Arabidopsis thaliana: one gene and its partner. The protein of the gene in region 1 interacts with the protein of each later gene in a pairwise test. Each region holds a gene or a part of one and is shown on either strand. Other genes may lie near its edges. The genes, in order: AT4G38520 and SAUR19.

Region 1 (9,019 bases):
GACAAGTAGAGAAATGGGAAAGACATTGTTTAGAGTGTACGTACCTCTTTCTTCTGAATCCAAAGATCTGTGTAGAGGAAGAAAGGAGCCACAGCAAGAGAGAGATCTATGTTGGTGGACTATACATACATACCACCGATTTCAATTCAATCAGTTTCATAACTTTCAGCTAATTACATTTATAGCCTTTTACTTTCCCATATTATCACATTAATCATTTTCTCATCTTTATACTTTAAAATTTTTGAAGAGAAAAAAAACATATCCAACGTTCTACTTAATTTGGTATGATTTTTTTATTTTATTTAAAACACCTAAGTTATAAGAAAACCTAGTTTGGTAAGATTTATTTTGTCCCGCTATTTTTAGATTTTACAGAAAATTATGGTCTTTTAGAAAATCATAAGTTTACTAATTAGTAATTAATACAAAATAGTATTTATCAAAATTTAATAATTTTCTTTATTTTTTTTCAAAAAAGAAAAGAATAAATCAAGTATTGATTGATATATGTGTTAAACTCTTTGCTATTTGCATTTCCGAGAGATTTAATAATGAGAGAAAAAATCTAAAAATTTCATTTTAAGAAAAGTTGAAAACTCTCAGGCGAGATTATATGAGAGCTGAGACTTATTGATTGGTTCAGAACACAACTGCATACCAAAGGCCATGTGTTTTGTAAGGCCATGGTCTGAGAATAAGCTGAGTTTCTCTAGTCTGAATCAGTAATACCTTAAAAAGCAAGCAATGAAAATTAATGAAGAAGAAGAAGAATTCTTGTCACCTTTCTTTCTCCAGTACACAGCTAACAAAGGGAACAAACAAAACTAACCACTTGATTATGATATATCCTTTCCCACTTGATGATGATATATCCTTTCCCAGTCAATGATAATAATAATCAAATATATATATTTATATATAGTTACAGGAAGGATCTTGGAAAGAATTTTAAGGACACCGTAAAAATTCAATAGTCAGGAGGCGCCAGCAGCAGCAGCTTGAGTGGGCGTGGTGCAAGGCGCCAGGGTGTTGTGAGGTAGATTCACACCCGCTCCTCTCACTGACACGGCTGGTCCTCTCAACATACTTCCTCTGCTCACTAGGTTTGTATCAAAGAAGACAACAATCACTGTTATGTCATCGTGGAAATGTCTCCTCACTCCTCTGTCTATCTTTTTCAGGTCTGAGTATCTCATCTCTCTCTTCTTTGCCGCTTCTTGTAGCGCTACTTTCACCAGCCGCTTTGCTATCCCCTGCCATTAAAGAGTCCTTATTATTATGTGCATTCTTTATATATAGTCTAGTAGTACAAACAGAGTGGGGTGTGTGTTCTCACGTTTCGCGGATGATTCTGGACTATGTCTACTGCTTCTTGGTTGCTCATATGTTCCCACAGTCCATCTGATGCACATATAATGAACTGATCGTGCGGCTCCAGTGTATGCACCGTGATCGCCGGCTCTGCACTCAGTAATGGCTTGCTGAACGGTGACCTCAGCCGGAATTTTGCATACAGTGGTTCCCTGTTGAACTCTGACCTTTTCAAATACACATCACCAATGGATCTTGAAACCTGAGTATAGTCATAAAGCCACTCAGAAAGACAACAGGAATTGTAAGACATACAAAAACAGATTTAGTCCAACTCTAGTTTATTAAATACCTGAATGATGCCTTTTACTCGCCAGACGTTATGTTTCAGAACCACAATATCTGGATGATCCGGATGCAGGGCCTGAAGTTCCCGTCTCACTGACTCTATAGATGCGTTGTGCTCTGCTGAGAGCTGAGTGGCATGAGCTTCACCTGTTACCCTCATGACTTGTCCCAGAACGGCCCGTGAGTCCCCTGCGTTGGCCACGTATAGCTTCCCATCGCAGATGACACTTACAAGACAGCATGATCCCACTGTGGCTATCTGAGGTCTAGTTTGAAATTGATTTGTAACTATGGATAAGAAGCCTTCTTCAGTGGCTTGGAACGCTTTTTTTATCACCTCTGATGACATACACTGTTGCTCTGCAGTAAACCCTGTGCATAACATAAAAGATGAGAGATCAAAACTAGAACCATTTTCTGGACTAGTGCTGCTATTAGAGAAATGCTTCTATATTTCCTTTCTAGATTAGCTAATCCAAACAAGAGTTAAAAGCATAGGTTGAGCGACTCACTCTTGAGGTGGTGGAACATATGATCATTGATGAAGCGAGATGTCTCAGGCCCACCGTGGCCGTCGTAGACGCCAACAAAGGTGCCAAAGGGACCAGAGTCGTGGGAGCTAAGAGAGCCAGACTCGAGCTGGCTCTGGTCCTCTAGCAAGCTGTTGGCTTGAACGACGGCCATGGAGAAGTCACCAAAGACGTGCTGGCCGGAGTCTCTGAACCAGAGCAAACCCTCTTGGCGGCCACCAGAATCTGAGGCAGAACGAGCCTGCTGATCTGACCGTGGCCAGAGACAGGCATTCAGAAAATTCATCAACCCAGATAGCATCCCTCATCTCATCCGCCACAACATAGAACTTGTCCGTTTTTAAGATAGCACAAATCACAGCTCTCTGAAATCTGCAATGCCAAAAGTAGTTCTTCACAGGAACGGCGCAAGTTTCACACAGCTTAAAAGAGTGCTCTTCTTCAAGACCTGAATGAACTCAAAGACAATCTAAAGAGCAAAAAAGTGAGAAAACTCAATTGTTATGAGTGGCAATAGAAATGAATCTGTAGGAGATTATAGTGAGACTGATTAGTCTAGTGATTGAACAATCTAAGAAACTTGATGCAACATTGAAAAGTTAACATCTTTAAGTAAGGAAACCATCGGAAGAAAGCAAAATTAGTGATGCGGCAAGCAAGAAAAAAAAACAAAAGGATTTATGCGGCAGATTCCAACTGGTTCGTATTCGCTACCAAAAAAAAGGAAACTTTACCTTGCAAGATGTTGGAAGCAACTCAAGTTGAGCAAGAAAATGAATGAAGAGAAGGATCTCAAGAGGACGGAGGAGATGTGGGCGTGGAATTTCAGAGCTTGTAGATCTACTACGACTACGGATGGATCAACCAAACACAAAATTTATACTTTTATATAAAAATGAACACCGATTTTTATTATTATTAAATTAAATATAAGCGAGCGGATGAGGAAGAAGAAGACCAATTGACAAAAAAAAAAACTTTTTAAGAAGAAAAAAAAATGGTTATCCCCTCAGAAACTAATGATCTTTCTTTCAATGTCTGGAAACAGTGAACAATGAAGGTAAAAGAGAGAGAGAGAGAGAGGTCAAGTCGCCGAACGAGACATCCTCCTTCGACGTTTTTATGTAAAAAAAAGAAAGAAAGTTGGAGTTGTTTTTTTTATCTTCTCTCTTTATCTCTCTCTATAGTCTTAAGACTAAGAGTGATTCTTACCAGACAAGACCCATAAAAGACCAACGATGGCGAGGTCGGAGCCAGCACATCAAAGGTCCCAGCTTTCGGGCTCCACTTCCCTCTCGTCCTTTTTTGCCTCATTAGATGGACAACACCAAACAGTGGCAAAGAATAATATTACAGTTTTTTTAGGGAAGAAAATAAAATAGTTGATATTATTGATATAATAATTCATTCAAGTCTCCTCTTTATTTTAAAAATATTCAACTCTTTTACTTTAGACATTATCATAAACTGGGGTCAAACGGAAGATTTTTCTTCAACGTTTAATAAAATCTCTTAACACAAATCAAAGAAGAGTAAAAATATACGGTTTCGATAAAATTTGGTTATGTGGCGGTGTTACATGACTACGACTGATAAAACTACACGAGTACTTTTGTTTTTCTGTCACCAAGATTTATTTCTTTTACTTACTCCATGTGTTTTTTTCTTTCTTCGTTAAAACTACTCCTCGTAAATTATAATCAAGATTTTAAGCAGTGTGCATATAAAATAAAATACATGTACAGTCTAGAAATAATATATGTGGATTCATGAATCTTTCATTTTTAATTTCCCCACACAATTTGTATCAAACGTTTAATGCCCATAAAAGTGGTGGTCCAGGACCCTGAGATTAAAATTTTAAAAAAATATATAGAGAAGAGGCTTGGGCTTGAAGAATGAAAAATTGAATAACAAATATTTAAAAAAATTTGGGACCCGAAAGTGATTGGGATAAAGTGAGATATGTCACTTTACCTAACATTATTTAATTTTATATTAATGTATGTACCACTAAATTTGGCCCTTTTCTCCCCATCGACTCTTTGTAGTTATTTATACTTTTGTAGTACCAATAATAGAAGAATCAACTATAAAAATTTCAGCTCAATAAAGAAAAACAGAACTATGAATTAAGTGAGAAACTCAAAAGCCTGCTTCTAAAACATGAATACGTCCACGATAATTATCACTAAGTTCTAGATAATCTAATTTTGCGGGACCAAATTGATGTATATGCGAACTTTTTCATACTTTTTTCACCAACAAATGTATATACTTCCCATCATGCATGCTCCCATGGTATCTCGCCGAGTGTCAATATATGTGAACTTACATAACCAAAAATTGATTTATAAAGATAACAATAATAAGGGAGACCTAAAAATAGAGAAAAGGGTGGTGTGGACTGTGGAGAAGGTCCCTACTTACAGAACATAGCTTCCATCAATCACACAAAAATCCAACCACTCTGAACCTTTCACTTCAGGACCAACTTCGTTATCCAATCATCTCCCAATATGCCAATACTTTCACTTATATATGAACGTGTATATATAAACCCTTCACATTTACTTCACAAAAATATCTTTTAAAAAAAGATCATAATCACAACTACTAAGCTAGAATTTTTTAGTAAATTTACTACTACGGTAATTATAAACAAATTATATAGGTTTCTTAAATAGTAGAACTTAAAATATAATGCAAAGTTATGTACGAATACTATCTTTTAATTAAAAATAACGATAAGAATGTTAAAAAAGAAAAAAAAAAAATCATGTTGATGATATATATGTTGAAGTAAAATTTAGTTATTAGGTTTAGGTATACGTCAATCATTCATGATACATGGATCCCAAACCCATAATATATCATGCATCGATCTCTGAAAATCACCAAAGCAAAAAAAACCCATGTAACATGATATACTATATTATGCATCATTTCGCCAATGTAACTTCTCTGATGCCCTGAACCTATTTCACATATGACTCATGGGAAAGACCGACAAAGGGATCGTATTACCCAAATATGGTTACGATAACATCCACTGAATATCACTCAAAATGAATTATTGTCTCTTACTAGATATATTACGGCTAGTTGATGATTTGTTTGAAAAGTTTAATCTTACAAAATTATTAATAGATTTGATGCTGCTCAAAGTGGTCTCTTTTATTTGCACCGCAAAAAGCCAGTATATATCCCCATTAGAAAAGACGTGACAAAGTGTTTAATAGATCCTTTATGTTTTCCTCGGACCCATGCATATATAAGTGTATTTAAATCTTTTATAAGGTTTTTATAGCCATAAATAAACAAATTTAGTTCAAAATAAGAATAATTAAGTAATTGGAATAGCGAGACACGTTCCTTGAGATGATAACACGAGCATATATTCTTCATCACTTTTGTTTGCTTCATATCATATACGCTAACTTATGTGTGTGTGTAATATATGATCTCAGAACTAACAAGTAAGAAGAAGAAGAATGTCGGAGAGTTTCAAAGTGTGCTTCTGTTGCAGCAGAAGCTTTAAGGAGAAAACGAGGCAGCCACCAGTGAGCATCAAGAGACTCTTCGAAGCTTACTCAAGAAACGGCAAGATGTCTTTCGATGAGCTTCTAAGATTTGTGAGTGAAGTCCAAGGAGAACGGCACGCAGGGTTGGACTACGTGCAAGATATCTTCCACAGCGTTAAACACCACAACGTTTTTCATCACCATGGACTTGTTCATCTCAACGCCTTCTATCGCTACCTCTTCAGCGATACCAACTCTCCTCTTCCCATGTCTGGCCAGGTATCTAAGTTTGGAAACTTTTTATGGATTTATTTCACAAATGGTTTTGTAATTGGGTATATTATATGTTCTTGGTTGGGTTAAGGTGCATCATGACATGAAGGCGCCGTTATCGCATTACTTTGTGTACACGGGACATAACTCTTACTTGACTGGGAACCAAGTGAACAGCAGAAGCAGCGTAGAACCGATCGTGCAGGCTCTCAGAAAAGGCGTAAAAGTGATCGAGCTCGACTTATGGCCTAATCCTTCAGGGAACGCTGCTGAAGTTCGTCATGGCAGGTTGGTCCCACTAACGAAGTCTTATAATCAACAAACAGACTCCAAAAAATGTCACACACTATATGTGTTTTGGTTCTCTCATCAGGACGCTTACTTCGCATGAAGATTTGCAGAAATGTCTAACCGCCATTAAGGATAACGCGTTTCATGTGTCTGACTATCCAGTCATCATCACTCTCGAAGATCATTTGCCACCCAAGCTTCAAGCGCAAGTTGCTAAGGTAAGTTGGTTTTGCAGAAACAGAGTATATATTTCGTTCTCTGAAAAAGAGTGATTTACAAATTTGATTGATTCTATGTTTGTAGATGTTAACTAAAACATACAGAGGGATGCTGTTTCGTCGTGTCTCAGAGAGTTTTAAGCATTTTCCATCACCAGAAGAACTTAAGGGGAAGATCCTGATCTCTACGAAGCCTCCAAAGGAGTATCTTGAGAGCAAAACTGTACACACCACAAGAACTCCAACGGTTAAAGAGACTTCGTGGAACAGAGTAGCGAACAAGATTCTTGAAGAATATAAAGATATGGAGAGTGAAGCTGTAGGATATAGAGACTTGATAGCAATCCACGCTGCAAACTGCAAAGATCCTTCAAAGGATTGCTTGAGTGATGATCCAGAGAAGCCTATACGGGTCAGCATGGACGAGCAGTGGCTAGACACTATGGTTAGGACCAGAGGAACGGATCTTGTCAGGTAAAATATAGAGTGAGAGGAGTCATAATGTTGAACCTTTTTCGACTCAAGAGTTATAAGATGAACCTGAGTCAGAGTTTGAAAAAAAACAAAAACAGGTTTACACAGAGGAATCTGGTGAGGATATATCCAAAGGGCACAAGAGTGGACTCGTCAAACTACGATCCTCATGTTGGGTGGACACACGGTGCTCAAATGGTTGCTTTTAACATGCAAGTAAGTGGAACTGGCTCATCATCGTTTGACTTGTTAAAAAATGGTTGAATAATATTTGTGTTGAAAAGGGACATGGGAAGCAACTATGGATAATGCAAGGAATGTTCAGGGGGAATGGTGGATGTGGGTACGTTAAAAAGCCTCGCATCTTGCTAGACGAGCACACACTCTTCGACCCTTGCAAAAGGTTTCCCATTAAGACCACTCTTAAGGTTAAGATTTACACTGGCGAAGGATGGGATTTGGATTTCCATCATACACACTTTGATCAATACTCTCCTCCAGATTTCTTCGTCAAGGTAAACAACAACTACTACTCTTCTTTTAAACTAGATTTCTTCGTAACTGTGTGTGTGTTGCATTTGCTGCATCAGATTGGAATAGCAGGAGTACCGAGAGACACGGTCTCATACAGAACGGAAACAGCTGTCGATCAGTGGTTTCCTATATGGGGCAACGACGAGTTCCTGTTTCAGCTGTCTGTTCCAGAACTGGCGCTTCTGTGGTTCAAAGTCCAAGACTACGACAATGACACCCAGAATGATTTCGCAGGACAGACATGTCTTCCTCTGCCGGAACTGAAGTCCGGAGTTAGAGCCGTCCGGCTTCACGATCGAACAGGCAAGGCCTACAAGAACACGAGGCTTCTCGTCAGCTTCGCCTTGGATCCTCCTTATACGTTTCGTTGAATCTCGTTTTCTTTCCGAAATAAGCCACACAGTGTGTATCTCTGTTTGCACGTTTATAAATTTATAATGTACAATTATTTGCGCCCTAGCTAGAACGGGATAAAGTGTGACAACATATAAATACTATTAAAGATTCGATATTTGATGACTGTAGCCGCCTGCCTAGAACGGGGTGCCTTGTTTGACTTGCCAACTTCAACCACATTTCTTTTTGTTTACTTGAAAGTTAAAAATAAATACTAGAGAGGAAGAAAAACAGAGCTTTCTTTCTAAGATCATCAACGCACCATGGAAGAAGAAGGCAGCCCAGATATCATCATCGTTGGCGCCGGTATCTCCGGCCTTTCCACCGCTGTTGGACTACACAGGTGTGTGTGGCGTGCCTTTTGAGTTGTTATTAAGCAGAGTAAGTTAACTAAAGTGGTGTGTGTCACAGGCTTGGGATCAGAAGCATGGTGCTGGAATCTTCGGAGACACTGAGAGCGACAGGATTTGCATTTACCACTTGGTTCAATGCTTGGAAGGCCATGGAAGCTCTCGGCGTTTCTCAGCATATTCGCAGTCTCCATGATCGCCTTGAAGGGTATCAAACTAACACTATTATTACTATTCATATATAATCAGCTCAGTAAAAAAGGGGACTCATCTTTGATTTTGCTGCAGATGGGTGGTTGGAACAATTTCTGCAGGAACTCCTCCCACAGAGATGCTGTTTCCAGAATCCGAGTATGTTTCTTCTTCTCTGCACAGAGCATATGAATGTTAAAACAATAAATAAGATAACTTCAATAATATTGTTGAATGATTTTGTCAGAGAATATGAGTCTCGATGCGTACAGAGGAAGCTGTTGTTAGAGGCTCTAGCAGGTGAGTTGCCTGAAGAGACCATCAGGTTTTCGTCTAAGGTTGTTCATATTGAATTGTCTGGATGCTACAAGAAGGTTCATCTCTCCGACGGGACCATTCTCAAAACCAAGGTAAATAACTACTTGTCCTCTGTAAACCATGTGAGGCCTGGTCTTGCTACGGAATTGTAGGGTTTCTAAACGAAATGCAGGTTTTGGTAGGGTGCGATGGAGTGTACTCAGTGGTTGGTAAGTGGCTAGGCTTCAAAAATCCCGCTACAACTGCCCGGTTAGCAA
Region 2 (6,947 bases), on another chromosome or scaffold:
CACCAGAGAATCTTGATTGTACATCAGTGACCACATATGTAACATCCCATGACTTCTTTCCTCTCGGATAATGAATCTTGAACATCGTTGTCTCAGTTGGCATATGCATATCCACAAATTTCTTTGGGATCCCCTGAATCACAGATTTTCATTAGATTAATACACACTTTTATACATAGCCATTTCGACAGTGTGTCACTGGTCTTGTCTTGCTTAATCTTACCAAGAACAGAAGGTGTGATTTCTTTATGGTGAGCTTGAATTCTGGAATAAGAGATGAAGTACCGGCTTCAGAGTCGTTACTAACAGTTTCCACCTTCTTCTTCTTACTCGTCTTGGATTTTTCGGTTTTATCGGCTTCCTTCTTTCTCAAGTTAAGCTCCTGTTTCTGCGTCAATCTCCCACTTGTAGATTCAGCTGTTTTGTGACAAGGATGGCTCGATTCAGACCAAGACTCTATCTCTTCTTCCTTCTTCACATCTTTGTAGATGCTCTTCCTCTCTTCTCTCTTGTTCCGACCTGTTTGCATCAAAATCAACCACAGAAGTAACTAATGACTGTATTCTTCTTCTTCTTCTTCTTAAGCATAAAGAAAGCAATAACATAGATGATGAACACTTACCGGAACTAGAAGTAATGGTTTTTCTTGGTCTAAGCATCTCCGTACCATCTGCCTCGAATATGGTTACATTAAAGCACATATTTGCCTCATGAGTGAAAGTAAGATACTCGTTTTCACCCAAACCGTTGTCATTCACAAACTGGTTCCATCCACGATCTTCCATGTAGTGAAAATTTGGGTTCTTGGAGATTTTAACTTGCCATGACCTTCCCCATGGTACTCTTAAGACCATCTTAAACGATGAAGACTTGTCGGAGATGCTTCTTATCAAGTGATGAGGAATCATTCTCTTCAGAGAGGCAACAAAATCAAGAAATATGGAACATCAGGAAATGGTAAAATGAAGTCACATTCCTCAATTTCAGTGATAAGTACAGTAAATAAAAGTTTACTGATCGATGTACAGTCAAAATCCATTTGGTCCGATCCGATCATTTCACACATCAAAACTTAGTTAAGACCAAGAACAGACAGATCTAAGTTCAGGACACTACAAGAGACACACTGAAGAACCAATAGATTCGATCTTTAATTTAAGAAAAAAGGCTAATAAGAAAATAAGTGATAAGGCTTACCATCATTTCAGTCGAATGATCTTCCCTTCGAAGAATCTTGAAGAATGCTGGATTATCTCTTTCTTCCATAATCTGACCAAAAAAAGCTTTGTTTTTCACCATCTCTGCTTCTCTCCTTCGATATGATCTTTCTTCAAAACCTCTCAGTCTTAACTCTTTAATCCTCTTCACTCTATCTCCTCAGTCACTCACTCGCATCTTCTCTTTTCAACTTTTCTATCTCACTCACTCGCTACTTCTCTTTCTCTCTCTCTGGTTGTGGGCAAAGAATGGGTAAAAAGAGAGGTCTCTTAAAACTTTAATTTCTAAAAACAGCCAAAGTGTTTTATTTTTCTGCATTAACTTTGAAATTAATTTTACTTGTGGTTAGTTGGAAAAGATTCCCATGAATCATTAAACTTTTGTGATTCGTAATTTGATATCGTAATGATACACAGAAACAGCAATATGCTCGTGACTTCCCAGACACGTAAAAAGCAGAGCAAATTCCTATTTTTAGTAACTGAATTCTAAAAAGACAGCGTCATATTTCCATATTTTTTTTTTTGGTTGCATAAACTATTAATTAACTTATACTGTACTAAAATACATTCACGGCAAATTTTGGTTAATCACCCATTTGAAAACCTCATTCCTAATATTTACTAGCTAGTCTGTAGAATGTAGACTTGTGTCCAGCACATACCCCTATTAACTTTATACAAGCTACATGTTTGAAAACTTAGCTAAAAAAATAAAAATACTACAGACTATACATGTTTTTTTTTGGGATCAAACTATAGAATATACATTAGTACTCTAAAATACCAAAAGAAACATGCATATATGTATATTCAGCGTAACAGATACGTATCAATAAATCATTGAAGAAAGGGATCGGATCCAGTCCACATCAACCCTAACTAGTGCGTGTCTCTATAGTTTTCCTTTTTGGGCAATGTATACTTGTCTTTATTATTTGGAAGGAGAAAGCAATGTTATTTATAGAATAAAATACAAACAGAAGTTTGGAATTCAAAAGTAAATTTCTTTTCCTTTTTGCTTGACAATATCTTGAAAACTATAATCAAATGTCACTGGAGACATCAACTAAATGTAACCCCCACACTATACGTAAGAGCCAGCCACTGATAAATTGTGTAAGTTAAAAGTGGTCATTTGTTATTTGTTTCCGTCTAATTCAGAGTAGCAAACAAATACTAAAACCGGATCTGAAATTCTCGGTTAGAGTAACAAGAATCCCGAACCGGGGGTAGTGCATCAAAAGGCAAAAATTGGAAATAAGCAGGTAAAACAAAAAGATATCCGGAATAAAGTTCGGGGGATTGAACCCGACGTGAATCGAACACGCAACCTTCTGATCTGGAGTCAGACGCGCTACCATTGCGCCACGGATCCGGATGTTAGATGTTCCACTTAATTGTTTTTAATCAACATGAAACTATAATTAGAGTAGTTTTTTGATTGATGAATTTGGTGTCGTCTTTCTTTTTCAATGAGCGATCAAAAATGTATTGACATGAAGTTTGTATATAACATTAATTTTGTATTTCACTTTCTACACTTTTAGAACAACTCTTTCAAGAAGAAAGAGAAAAAAGCTCATGTATTTACAATGAATAAGTCTATTTCTAACTGAAGGAAAAAATGTTGGATCATCTTCATTGGAGCCGAGAAGTCACATTGATGAAAGTATCTTCGGGACAAGGGATCGTTAAGCCACCCATCGGATGAGCAAACCCAAACTCTTCTTCGGATTTACTGAGCAGAGCTTGAAATGACGGTTGGCTCAAGTATGAGAGCGGCACCAAATATCTCTTCTTCTGGCTCTCTCCTACGTACACCGCAAGAAACCCTTTTGGTGCCGCAGATCCTGCTGCGGTGGAGCGGCTTAGAATCTTCTTTGCTCCCAATAGACTTCTCACGAAAGCCATTTTTATTTTATTTTAAATAAAAGAAGTTTGAATTATTATGAAGCTCTTGAAGATGTATGAAAAGATTCAAGTTATTGGAATGCTTGTTGTTGGTTGATGATAGAAATAATGGGGTTATGGGTGTATATATAGAAATATCAATGAACGATTTGAAACTTCTCTGAAAAAGTCATTGAAACTGTGGTCTTGAAGCGTGGGACAGACTAGAGCAAGAGTTCACATGGTTCTGTCTTTACCATCTGGAAAAGATGCATTAATGAAATTTATCTACTTAAATAATCTCCATGTGAAATTTCACAAGGGCTTGCTTTCTCAATGTTTCTGAGATAAGACGTGCCCTATATTTGCAAGAACAAAGACAGCAGGTTCTGTGATGATTAGGTGGTTGGTTCTTTGTCCTATAGTACTCTAATCTCTGCAGTCGAAATGGATTTATTAAGAAGTTAAAGTGGGGACCTGAATGTTATTCAACAACAGAACAACAATTCAATGTCACTCTCTAGTTGTTCTTTGATTATATCCACACATGAAAACTAAAAGAGACTGAATACCTCACTTCTTCTCTTCATTTATTATACAGACATGGAGAAGACAGACCCTTGTGAAGTGATGATAATGCTCATTAGCTTCCGTTGTCAACTTGTCATCTATCATACCTAAAAAACAGAACCATGTGAAACTATCTTTGTGTATGTCTCACCCCTACTTTGAATGGTTTCAGGGTGATTTGAAGTCTTTTATCAATCTATTTATACATCCAGAGACAGAACCAACTCTTCACCAAGTAGTGAAGCAATCCAGACCTCAAAATTTTGAGCATCTAACTTTTTCTCAGAAGCTTCAAATTTAGATTTTCCAGACTCAAGAAATGGCTTTGTTCAGAGGCCTCTTGAGTTCAAAGAAGATTATCGGCTTTTCTGTAGAGGCTACAAGCAAAAGGACAGTTTCAACACCTATTTTATGTAAAACTATTATTTTATGAAAATCTATATTTGGAATATAACCAAAAATGTATATCAATATGATCCTGCATAGTAAAGACACTCACTTAATAACCAATTTTTTTTCACTTTCTCACATCTTAGAATTGATGTTTTGAGAGTTTCGTATACTACAAGAAACCCTTTTTAGCACTCCCTGAGCGAATTTAAAAGCCTCTCGGAAATCTTCTGAAACTTGTGGATGTAAGAGTGGACACATAAGAAGAGAGTTTAGATGGTTTTGTCGTCCAGATGCTAACGTGATAAATGAATGTGGATACAAAAGACGAGCAACGATAAGCTAAACTAGACTTCATGAGGGTTTGAGTTCGCTACATTTGCTTGTGGTTCTTGGTTGTGATTTCTCTGGTTGCTTTTGTCGTACGTCCTGATCTTAATATTTGAAGAAGGAGACGTGGCTCACTTGACAAATGCTAGGAACAGACCAGTCTCGGGTTTTACGGATCTTATGCAATAGTCTGCATGCAGTATCCAGTATCCACATTAATTGTTCTATAACATGTTATGATAGTAAAACCATAGGAATGATCACAAATCATGACAAGAAAAGCCTAAGGAAATCAAAGAAGCTTAATATCGCATAAGTGATTAATAGCATTGAGCCATTAATGATCTTACAACAACAAGAGTCTCTCAATGTTATTTGGGAAAACATCGAGATCATTGAGAGAATCGAGTCTGAGCCCTTTAAGTCGTCTATATAGGTCATTTGCAATTCCTTTAATTTTGGTTACTCTAATACTCTTTCTCTTTGGATCAAAATACACCACATGGAAGGATTCATACACACTCATTGGCGTATAAACAAACTCACCAGCATCAGTAACACCCTTCAAAATTAAACACGCCCATTCTTTGTCAGACAGAGGAAAATTCAAAGACATAAAGAGACATATTTCAACACCAACGGCCATGGAACAAGGCCACCTACACCATCATCTTCACAACCTTGAGCTTCTCCAAAACATTTCTCATTGGATCTCATGATAAAAAGCCAGAGAAGTAATAAGCAAATGGCTGGCAAGTTCTGTTCTTGATTGTGATTCTCTGCTTGATTTTGTCCGTTTTTGAATATGAATAAGCAAACGTGGCTCGCATGAAAAATGCTAGAAACAGAGCAGTCTCTGTTTATACAGACTACAACAATAGTTTGCACTATCCACATTGTTATATAACATGCTGGGATAAATATCTTGAGATTAAGGAATAATTACAAATCATTACAAGAAAACCTAAAGACATCATCAAACAATCTCAAAATCTAATAAATGAATGATGAAGAACTAGCATCGAGCGGTGAATGTTCTTACAAGGACAAGAGACTCTCAATGTGATTTGGGAAAACATCTAAATCATTGAGTGGACCAAATCCAAATCCCTTGAGTTTCCTACAATTCCTTTAAACTTAGTTTCTCTTATACTGTTTCTCTTCAGATCAAAATACACAACATGGCGTAGAAGCTTCGTGCCAAGGAAGCAGCATTTTGGGTTAAGAAGATTCCTATGATCCCTCCCGTTTTCTCTTTCTTTGAATCCATGGCGGATCGCAAACACACTTTTACTTTCTTCAAACCCTAAACAGTTGTGTTTAGTTTATCGAATGAAAGCGAAGGGCAAAGTCTGGATTTTTTTAAAAAGAATATCCGGAGTAAAGTTCGGGGAATTGAACCCGACGTGAATCGAACACGCAACCTTCTGATCTGGAGTCAGACGCGCTACCATTGCGCCACGGATCCGGATGTTATATGTTCCACTTAATTGTACTTAATCAACATGAAACTATCATTAGAGTAGTTCCAATTGGTTTGGTCATTGGTGTTATCTTTTCATTTTTCAATGAAAGATCAAAAATGTATTGACATGAATCGTTTCTGTTGCATAAAGATGGCATTTACTCTCTAAACTTTTAGAACAACTCTTTCAAGAAGAAAGAGAAAAAAGCTCATGTATTTACAATGAATAAGTCTATTTCTAACTAGGAAGAAAAATGTTGGCTCATCATCGTTGGAACCGAGAAGTCACATTGATGAATGTATCTTCAGGACAGGGGATCGTTAAGCCACCCATTGGATGATCGAATCCAAACTCTTCCTCGGATTTACTGAGAAGAGCTTGAAATGAAGGCTGGTTTAAATATGAGATTGGCACCAGATATCTCTTCTTTTGGCTCTCACCTACGTACACTGCAAGAAACCCTTTTGGTGCCGCCGAGGCTGCTGTGGTGGAGCGGCTTAGAATCTTCTTTGCTCCCAATAGACTTCTCACAAAAGCCATATCTATTGTTTTTGTTTCGAATATTAAATTCTTTAAAATCTTCTGAAGATGTATGAAAAGATTCAAGTTATTGGATTGCTTGTTGTTTGTTGATGATTGAAAGAATGGGTTTATGAGTGTATATATAGAAAGATCAACTACTAATGAGTTGAAACCTCTCTGAAAAAATCATTGAAACTTGTGGTCTTGAAGTGTTGGACAGACTAGAACAGAGAACATGGTTCTGTCTCTACCATTTGGAAAAGATGCATTAATGCAGTTTGTCTTGATGAGATAATTAATTGATTGTGGGACATTAAACTAAAAACAAAATCCATATGCAATTCACAAGGGACTGTTTTCTCAATGTTTTTAGATAAAAGACCAGCAAGTTTCTCTTCTCCATGTTCTGTGATGATCCTATTTTTGATTCTCTGTGGTCTAAATGGATTTAATAACAACTTAAAAGTGGGGACCTGAAGTTTCTCAACAACAGAACAACATGTCTCCATCACTCTTTAAGCTGTTCCTTTTTTATGATATACACAAATAGAACCACACA

Evidence for each region.
Region 2: the proteins of AT4G38520 (region 1) and SAUR19 interact in a two-hybrid assay, tested with the Arabidopsis thaliana proteins (one study listed by BioGRID).

Annotation. Positions count from the first base shown.
Region 1 is NC_003075.7:18,015,022-18,024,040, forward strand, and holds AT4G38520 (Protein phosphatase 2C family protein), read right to left. Parts: upstream 3,480-9,019; 5' UTR 2,927-3,479; exon of another isoform or gene 2,662-2,926; 5' UTR 2,494-2,661; coding exon 2,175-2,493; intron 2,035-2,174; coding exon 1,667-2,034; intron 1,577-1,666; coding exon 1,340-1,576; intron 1,257-1,339; coding exon 978-1,256; 3' UTR 599-977; downstream 1-598. Other genes in the region: PLC1 (phospholipase C1), read left to right, coding at 5,687-5,995, 6,081-6,277, 6,363-6,498, 6,584-6,972, 7,071-7,188, 7,257-7,487, 7,563-7,877; AT4G38540 (FAD/NAD(P)-binding oxidoreductase family protein), read left to right, coding at 8,166-8,245, 8,314-8,460, 8,541-8,603, 8,692-8,854, 8,935-9,019. UniProt on the Arabidopsis thaliana protein: Dephosphorylates and represses plasma membrane H(+)-ATPases (PM H(+)-ATPases, e.g. AHA1 and AHA2), thus influencing negatively plant growth and fitness.
Region 2 is NC_003076.8:5,960,175-5,967,121, forward strand, and holds SAUR19 (SAUR-like auxin-responsive protein family), read right to left. Parts: upstream 3,232-6,947; 5' UTR 3,132-3,231; coding exon 2,859-3,131; 3' UTR 2,599-2,858; downstream 1-2,598. Other genes in the region: VDD (VERDANDI), read right to left, coding at 1-133, 224-519, 623-911, 1,198-1,299; SAUR20 (SAUR-like auxin-responsive protein family), read right to left, coding at 6,131-6,406. UniProt on the Arabidopsis thaliana protein: Provide a mechanistic link between auxin and plasma membrane H(+)-ATPases (PM H(+)-ATPases, e.g.